Diceros bicornis minor: one gene and its partner. The protein of the gene in region 2 interacts with the protein of the main gene of each other region in a biochemical or structural test. Links are inferred from orthologs where the notes say so. Each region holds a gene or a part of one and is shown on either strand. Other genes may lie near its edges. The genes, in order: ANG and RNH1.

Evidence for each region.
Region 1: the proteins of RNH1 (region 2) and ANG are reported together in a solved structure, tested with the Homo sapiens proteins (3 studies listed by BioGRID and IntAct, with this or other methods). The link is inferred for Diceros bicornis minor from reciprocal best matches to the Homo sapiens genes RNH1 and ANG.

Annotation. Positions count from the first base shown.
Region 1 is NC_080744.1:28,543,424-28,547,332, forward strand, and holds the start of ANG (angiogenin), read right to left. Parts: upstream 2,311-3,909; 5' UTR 2,232-2,310; intron 1-2,231. UniProt on the Homo sapiens protein: Secreted ribonuclease that can either promote or restrict cell proliferation of target cells, depending on the context. Endocytosed in target cells via its receptor PLXNB2 and translocates to the cytoplasm or nucleus.
Region 2 is NC_080770.1:333,940-337,848, forward strand, and holds the start of RNH1 (ribonuclease inhibitor), read right to left. Parts: upstream 2,544-3,909; 5' UTR 2,152-2,543; coding exon 2,129-2,151; intron 1-2,128. UniProt on the Homo sapiens protein: Ribonuclease inhibitor which inhibits RNASE1, RNASE2 and angiogenin (ANG). May play a role in redox homeostasis. Required to inhibit the cytotoxic tRNA ribonuclease activity of ANG in the cytoplasm in absence of stress.

The DNA of each region.
Region 1 (3,909 bases), on a different chromosome or scaffold from region 2:
CACAATGAGGTTATGACGAAATAGAAAATAAGGTTTGGGGGAAAAAAGTTTTACTCTTTCATTAAAATGCATCTAAGTGCTTAGGCATTTGTGTTTCAAAATACAACAAGGAATTATAGTCTATGATTAATGAACATCATATCTCTGTCGGTAATTTTAATACGTATGAAGCAATTGCCAATTGAAAAAAAGTGCTCATATATTTAAAAAAATGTTCTGACGGCCTGAACTTAAAAGTCATTCCCCTTCTCCTGAAATGTTTTTCTATGTCTCTTCTTCAAGCCACTAGTCTCCCTGCACACAGACACAGAAAGCATGAGTTCTCCTTCTAAGGCTCTACTGCTGGTGTACTTTCCCCCTTTATACTGAGGACACATGTTTAATTCTGTCCTTAAGACTAATTATAAAATTAGGTGATGGAGGGAAGTGCCTAATCTCTAAGTTCCTTTATAACTCTAACATTTAGGTCTATAAACATGAAACTTATTTAGTGACAGAAGTAATGGTTAAAAGAGGATGAAGCTCACGTGAAAAGAAGGATCATGCCTCAGCCTCCAGGAAGGGGGGGCACTATTTATTGAGAGAGAATCGGGACAAAGTCCTGCTGACATGCCTATATTTCCAAACAAAGATAAAAATTAAACATTCACTTTTCAACAAATTCTGGGCTTTGTGCCCATTCTTTCTTTCCTAGGTATTTTGAGGTGTTCTTCTGAGAGTAACTATTTACAGAAATTGCTCTTTGCTCAAATACAGATTAAATACAAACTTCTAAAGAGGGGTTTCGCTGGCCTGCTTTGATCTACTTTCTTATCTATCTATTTTAATTTATGAATCACACTGGCAAATGTTTCCAACAATAACTTGACAAATCTCTGTTACCTGCTTATAACCTGACATCTGCTCTTTCAACAATAGCCAGAGCCATTCCCCTTCCTGGAATGGTTTTGCCCATCCTCTCTACTAAACTATAGTTCTTCCCCACATTACTGGAGTACCTTCTTTTGTATAAGAGTCATGTTACTAACACCCTGCCACCCAACGCAGTCATAGAATAAGAAAGAGATGGACTTCAGGGACCATCTGTCAATCCCTCATTTTACGGATGAGCAACAGAGAAAGAGAAAGAGAATATGTATTGCCCAAGGAACATCTAGTGTTCCTGGGACTAGAATCTTTCCAATGCACCACACAGCTTTTGTATTCCATACTAGTAATTTCTAGAAAATCAAAGCTAATTTTAAAGGTGCCACTGAAAATTGCTGTTTAAGGGAAACCTACATTGAATATTTCCATAAAGTTCAAAAATATTTCACTCTCCCTTTTATTTGTAAAAGAGCTGCTTGAAATAAATCGTCTGAAACCAAATTATCCTTCTGCACTAACTAGTTAGTAACTGTGTAGTTAAGTAGCTCTTGGAATACCTGAGGCTGCTTCTGGCAAACTGGCCATGTGCTGCTCAGATAATTATGTCACTTGGGTTTCTAGTGATTACATTTATGACTCCATTATAAGGTTCTTAATGACACAGAGGGAGGGTCTTGGCTCATTTGAGATTTCCCTAGTCCCCAGAACCGTGCTGAAACTGTTTCTACTGTCCTTCCTAAAGAAAGATGTTCTGTTTTGCCTTCGTGTTGTCACCATTTGATGTGCTGTTTCAGAGGAAGAAAGCTGAGGATCCCAACGTTCCAGTAAGAAAGCTTAGAGACGAGTCTGTTGGCAAAGAGTCTCCAAGAATTTCACAACATTGGCTGAGGGTGGGTTAAGGGTGGGGAGACAGAGGAAAGTAAACAAGAAACGAAAACACCAGGCCCCAAATGTCGGTTACGCTGGCACAAACTGGACAAGACCTGCTTCATAAACCTGGAGATCAACCTGGGTACCAAGCAAAGAATCCTTAGTTTTGAGCCTGTGCAGGCCTCCTCGGGTCTCCCTTCAGTCCGCCAATTCTGTGGTCTCCGCTCTGAGCCTAGGTTCCAGGCAGTGGGCGTTGACGCTGCCAACTCTGCTCAGCTGCGGGAAGTAAACATGGGGTGGGAATGCAGAATCGCGAACTCGTACTATTACTGGACTTTTACCTTCCTTCCCATTCCTCATCTCCCCCAGTCTTGTCCCACAAAAGCCTCCCGGAGGAGCCCCACACTGCCTGTGCTAAGAAGGGACTCCCTCAGGCAAAACACTCTTGATAAAGCCATCGACAGGGAGAAGGAGGAGCAGGAGTGTGAACCCACCTCGGCCTCGGAACAAGGCTGCAGAAACGGGCAGGACAGCGGAAAGAGAAGTTTTTGTTTCTCAGCCGCTTCTTCCTCGCTTATATGATGATGGGGAGCTGGCAGAAAACGCAAAGATGTTCTTTTGAAGCTTGCTTTGGATCCTGCGTGGGGTCAGCGTGCGTGTGTGTGTACACGGACGGGATAGGGGTCTGGCGAGGAGTGGACGCCTGGCGTGCGAGCCTCTCTGTGTTGTTGGGACCCCGCCTGGCTTCCCCGAGGAGGCCCCTTCCGCCTGGACCCGCCTTTGGAGCAGGCGCCACAGCAGCCCCCGCCCCAGGCGCGGCGGGCGGGTCCCAGCCTGGGCCAGGAGCGAGTCCGACGCGCAGCAGCTGCGGGGACACCGCCCCCGAGGACAGCCGACCACGGGATACCGGCCCCTGCTCCCAGAAGCGAGGCAGCCCCCCCGAGGCGTCCGCAGGCGAAGAGTCCAGGAAGCCAGGCAGTTTCATCCCGCACAGGTCCTCAGCCCCATCTCCCATGTGTTCATTCAGTGCACCTCTCTTTTGCAGAACAGTTAGGAACGCGAGAAAGTTTGTACAGAGCTCAATTTTTCCATGAGTAGTTTCCAAAGAAGGAGGGGGGGGGGGGGGAAAAAAACCAGGACACTGGAGGATCCGGGCTCGTCCGGGATTTGAACCCGGGACCTCTCGCACCCAAAGCGAGAATCATACCCCTAGACCAACGAGCCGCCGTGTAACAGTTTTCCCTACGTATCTTCTGAACTTCACTTTCCCGTCGGCGATTGGCTACACCATTCAATGGTTTTGTTCCCCTTTGTGACATTTACCTTTTGCCTTGCTTAGTTCTTCTTCCCATCTTCATAAAGTCTCACATCTGACTCTGGCCCTAGTTTCGCTTATTCTCCCCGATCCACGTCCTGGACCCCTCCAGACGCCAAGTGGGGTGAGAGGAGGCAGCTTTTCAGACTTCAGGCCACGTGTCTGAGATCCACCCAGCCCGGCCGGGACGGGTCTAGCCGCGAGCTCGAGCCTGAAGAGAGCCTGGAGGGAATCGGGTTGGAGCCCGAGGGCCCGAGCGGAGCTCGGCTGCGAGGCTGTAGGGTCCCGAGGCCAGGACGCACGCGCAGGAAGTGTATCTGTCGGGCTGCTACTACCTCGCGCGAGCATAAAATCCTAGGGGCAGGACTGGTGGGCACCATAGTACGGGAGCCGGAGTCGGTTGCAGGCGACCCAGTCTGGCGCGTGTTCGGATAGTCCAGACGTCTCGCAGTTTCCCCGAATGAGAATGAAGTTTTCCATCTCCCCACATTTGCTTCAGTTGTTTCCTTGGTCTTGAATTCTCTCTCTCAGTCTCATCCTAACTCACGTCAAATCCTATTCCTCTTTCCTGCTCCGGCTCAAAATCCTGTTTGTGGAACTATAAAAATATATGAATAGCTAAATGAATTAAAACTGTCTCGTAACGGCCTATGAATGAATGTCTGAAGAGTGAGGGCGAACACTTGGGCTGAAGGTCTCAGGGGCTTTGTTCAGCACATTAAAGCCCCGCACATACGTATGTATGTATGTATATATGGTTCTTGCCAACGAGTGGTCTTGGGTCTCTGAACTTTGGGTCTCAGGCAGCAACGTAGGATCCACTAGAAGCCAAAAGAAAGAACACCTTAGGTAACTCA
Region 2 (3,909 bases):
AGAACAGGGTGCTCCACGTGCTCGCATTGCACAGCATTCCTCAATTCAGCCGCCACTTACTGAACACCTATTGTGTGCCGGGCACTGTTCTAGGCGCTTGGGCCACATCAGTGAGCAAGCAGGGCAAAGGTCTCAGCCCTCTAGGAGCTCAAGGGGACACATGAAATTAAAAAGCAAATTAATAGTAGGGCTGCCCCAGTGGCCTAGTGCTTAAGTTCATGTGCTCTGCTTTGGCAGCCCAGGGTTCACAGGTTCGAATCCCAGGCATGGACCTACACACTGCTCATCAAGCCATGCTGCAGTGGCATTCCATGTACAAAATAGAGGAAGACAGGCACGGATGTTAGCTCAGGGACAATCTTCCTCAGAGATTGGCAAGGGATGTTAGCTTACAGCCAATCTTCCTCACGAAAAAAAAAAAAAAAGCAAATTAATAGTGAGGCAGCCCTGATGGCCTAGCAGTTCAAGTTTGGCAAGCTCCGCTTTGGCAGCCCAGGTTCAGTTCCTGGGTGTGGAACCACACCACTCATCTGTCAGTAGCCATGCTGTGGTGGCGGCTCACACAGAAGAAACAGAACTTACAACTATACACAACTATATACTGGGGCTTTGATGGGGGGCGGAGAAGAAAAAAGGAGGAAGATTGGCAATAGATGTTAGCTTAGGGCGAATCTCCCCCCCGGGGGAAAAAAAAAGGAAATTAATAGTATTTAGAATGTGGATAGTGCCAAGGGGCAAAAATAATGCAGAATAAAAGGGAATCAGGAGTGCTGGAGGGTCAGGGCAGACGTCAGGCATGTCCACTCCCAGGCGAGAGCAGGCCACGGGTAGCAGAGGCCTGAGGCTATGGTGGCCGCCCACAGGTGGGTTGAATGTTTCACACACTGCTCACTGCCGACCTGGCCTAATCCTGGCGGCCGCCAGGGAGCAGCACAGTGCAGATGGCGACAAGAGAGCAGCGAGCTGATCTGCTGCAAGGGGGGCCAGTTCTTTGGGGGAATAAAGTGGAGGGTTACTCAATTTGGGGATATTTGGCTGGGCTGGTTCCTGCTTGTGTAGCTTGCTGGGTGCCAATGGACAAGGGGGTCGCACCACCAACGCAGCCCTGGAGAGCCCAGTGGCTTCGCAGGGACAGACCACTAAGGTCCAGACAACCCCACCCATGAGCTCCCCCCGAGTGGGTTCAAGGTGTCAAGTTGTCGAGTGAAGACAGCCAGCAGCTCTCCTCCCCCTCGACGCAAGAAATGAGCGAGGTCCTGGGTTTCCCACAGAGGCTGCTGCAGCCTGAGGTTGGGTGAGGGTGGGTGAGGCAGAGGGGCGAGGGGGGAGGGGGGCCCCTGGGTGTACCGGAGCTACAGTCAACGTGATCGTGATTTTTGTCACATGAGCATTATATGCTCTTTGTAGAAAAACCAGAAGACAGAGAAAAGAAAATGAAGAGCGCTAGAATGCCCATCTTCTAGAGACAACTGCTCTGACATCTGTTCACGTGCTCCTACCCACTCTGTACACACATTTTTAAAAAATAAAAAATCAGATATTAGGAATGTTAGGCAGAATAATGGCCCCCAAAGGTGTCCACGTCCTAATCCCCAAACCTGTCAATAGTTACCTTCCATGGCAAAGGGATCTTTGCAGATGTGACTAAGCTAAGGGTCTTAAGATGGGGAGACTGTCCTCGATTACCCGGATAGGACCAATGTAATCATGAGGGTCCCTATAAGAGGGAGGTGAAAGGGTCAAAATCAGCAAGGAGACGTGACCATGAGGTTGGAGTGGTTGCGCTTTCAAGATGGAGGAAGGCAGCTTCTAGAAACTGGAAAAGGCCAAGAAGTAGATTCTCCCCTGGAGCCTCCGGAAGGAGCCCGCCCTGTGGATACTCCGATTTTAACCCCCTAAGACCCATTTCAGACTTCCAACCTCCAGAACTGTGAAATAAGGAATCTGTGGTAATTGTTACCGCAATAGGAGACGAACGCATTATGGAGCTGCTATAACATTTTCCTCTCAAGAACAGATCGGTATACAATGTATACAAGCTAACTTGCAGTGAACCCCACATTGTGTGCCAGCCTCTGAATGTATTCCATTTACTCAACCCGTCTTACAGGCCGACATTTCGTCTCACCTGGTTAGCTTCCTGGTACCCATCCTAGAAGGGGGGCCGGCCTGGTTCCAAGATGCCGCCCAACTGCCCTCCGGAAACGCTGCAGAAGTCCACCAGCTTTCCCGCACGCGTGTCTCCGCACCGCGTGGGCACCGAGAGGTGCCAGCCCAATAGCGCAAAGTGCCTGGACCCCCCTGCACATCTCAGCCAACCCTGAGACCACCCTGAGCCCGCGGCCCACGAGGCGCTGTTCCAGTCACGCTCTCCTCTTGCCCCCGGGAGTCGTCCACCCAGCTCCCCCAGGCCTCTCAGGTGACCTCCCAGGGCTCCTCTGACTGGGCTCCGCGTCATCACCCGGCCTGCGGTGTGCTTCTTCCCGGGCACTCTCGGAGGGGTGGCCACTGGAAGCACGTGCGAGTGTCCCTCCACCTCTGGTCGTACGTCATGGAGACCCCGTCCCCCCGTTTCCCCAATACCCCCTGGGCGACTCCTCTCTGCCAGGGCTGTCCTTCCTGGGGGTCGGTTCTTTGCGGCAACAGGCCAAAGGTTACTCAATTTGGGGAAGAAAGTGTGGCTGGGCCAGCCTCTGCTTCTGCAGCTTGCTGGGCGCCAATGGACCAGGGGTCAGGGAGAACCCCGCACTCGCGCGGACACAGGCACCCAGAGCGGACCACGCAGGCGCAGACCAGCGCGCCGCGCCGCGCCTCCCAGCGTGCCTCGGGAGAAGGGCCTGAGCGGTGCGCACGCGCGGGGGCGCTCTCGGTGCTGTGACGTCCTCGGGGCGCGCCGACGGCCTCCAGGAGGCGCCGCTGCCTCGGCCCGCTCGGCCCCGCCCCGCCCCCGGGCCCCGCCCGGGCCCCGCCCGGGCCCCGCCCCCGCCGCACGCCCCCCGCCCACACGCCCCCGCCCACACGCCCCCGCCCACACGCCCCCACGTCCCGCCTCACGAGCACGTTTCTCCCCCGGGGAGCATGGCAGCAGTACCGCCCCTGCGCGTCCATAGGCGGCCCGACCACAGCCGCCGCCGGTGAGGGCTGACCTCGACACGACGACGGACTATCACTGGCCTGGAGACCGGAGGGAGACGGCGCACTTCCGGCAGGGAGGGCGGGGGCGGGACTGGAGGGGTGGGGGCAGGGCCTGGCGGGCGAGGTCTGGCTGCCGTGTCAGGACCGGCGGGGGGGGCGGGGCCCGGAGGGCGGGGGCGGGGCCTGGCGGGCGAGGTCTGGCTGTCCTGCCGGGACTGGTGGTGGGGCGGGCCCTGGAGCGCGGGGCGGGGCGAGGTCTGGCTGCCGCGTTTGGACTGGCGGTGGGGCGGGGCCTGGATGGGAGGGCGGGGGCGGGGCCTGGCGCGCGGGGGCGGGGCGAGGTCTGGCTGCATCGTTGGGACGGGCGGTGGGGCGGGGCCGAGCCGGCGGGGGGCGTGGCTGGAGGACGGGGCCGGGTGGGCATGGGCGTGGCCAACGGGGCGGGCGCAGCCTTTGGGGGTGGACTCCTCGCGCCCACGTGGCGGCGGGGAGGAGCGGTGGTCTGGGCGGGCTGGGAAGCGTGGTTGGCGGGCGCGCTCCGTGGGCGGGCCTCGGACGTTGGGCACCGTGAGGGCGTGAAGTCGTCTGGCCGTGACGTTGGCGTGGCTGTCAGGGGGCTCGGCTCGGTGACTTGGAGCGAAGTCTGGCTCCCGAGTTTCTGCACAGCAGTCCCTGCCGAGCACCGACCTGGTCGTATAGCTGGAGAGTATACGTAGATGGATGAAGTCATAGGAACGAGGGTGGCCACGTTATTCATTAAGGCACGGTTTGTGG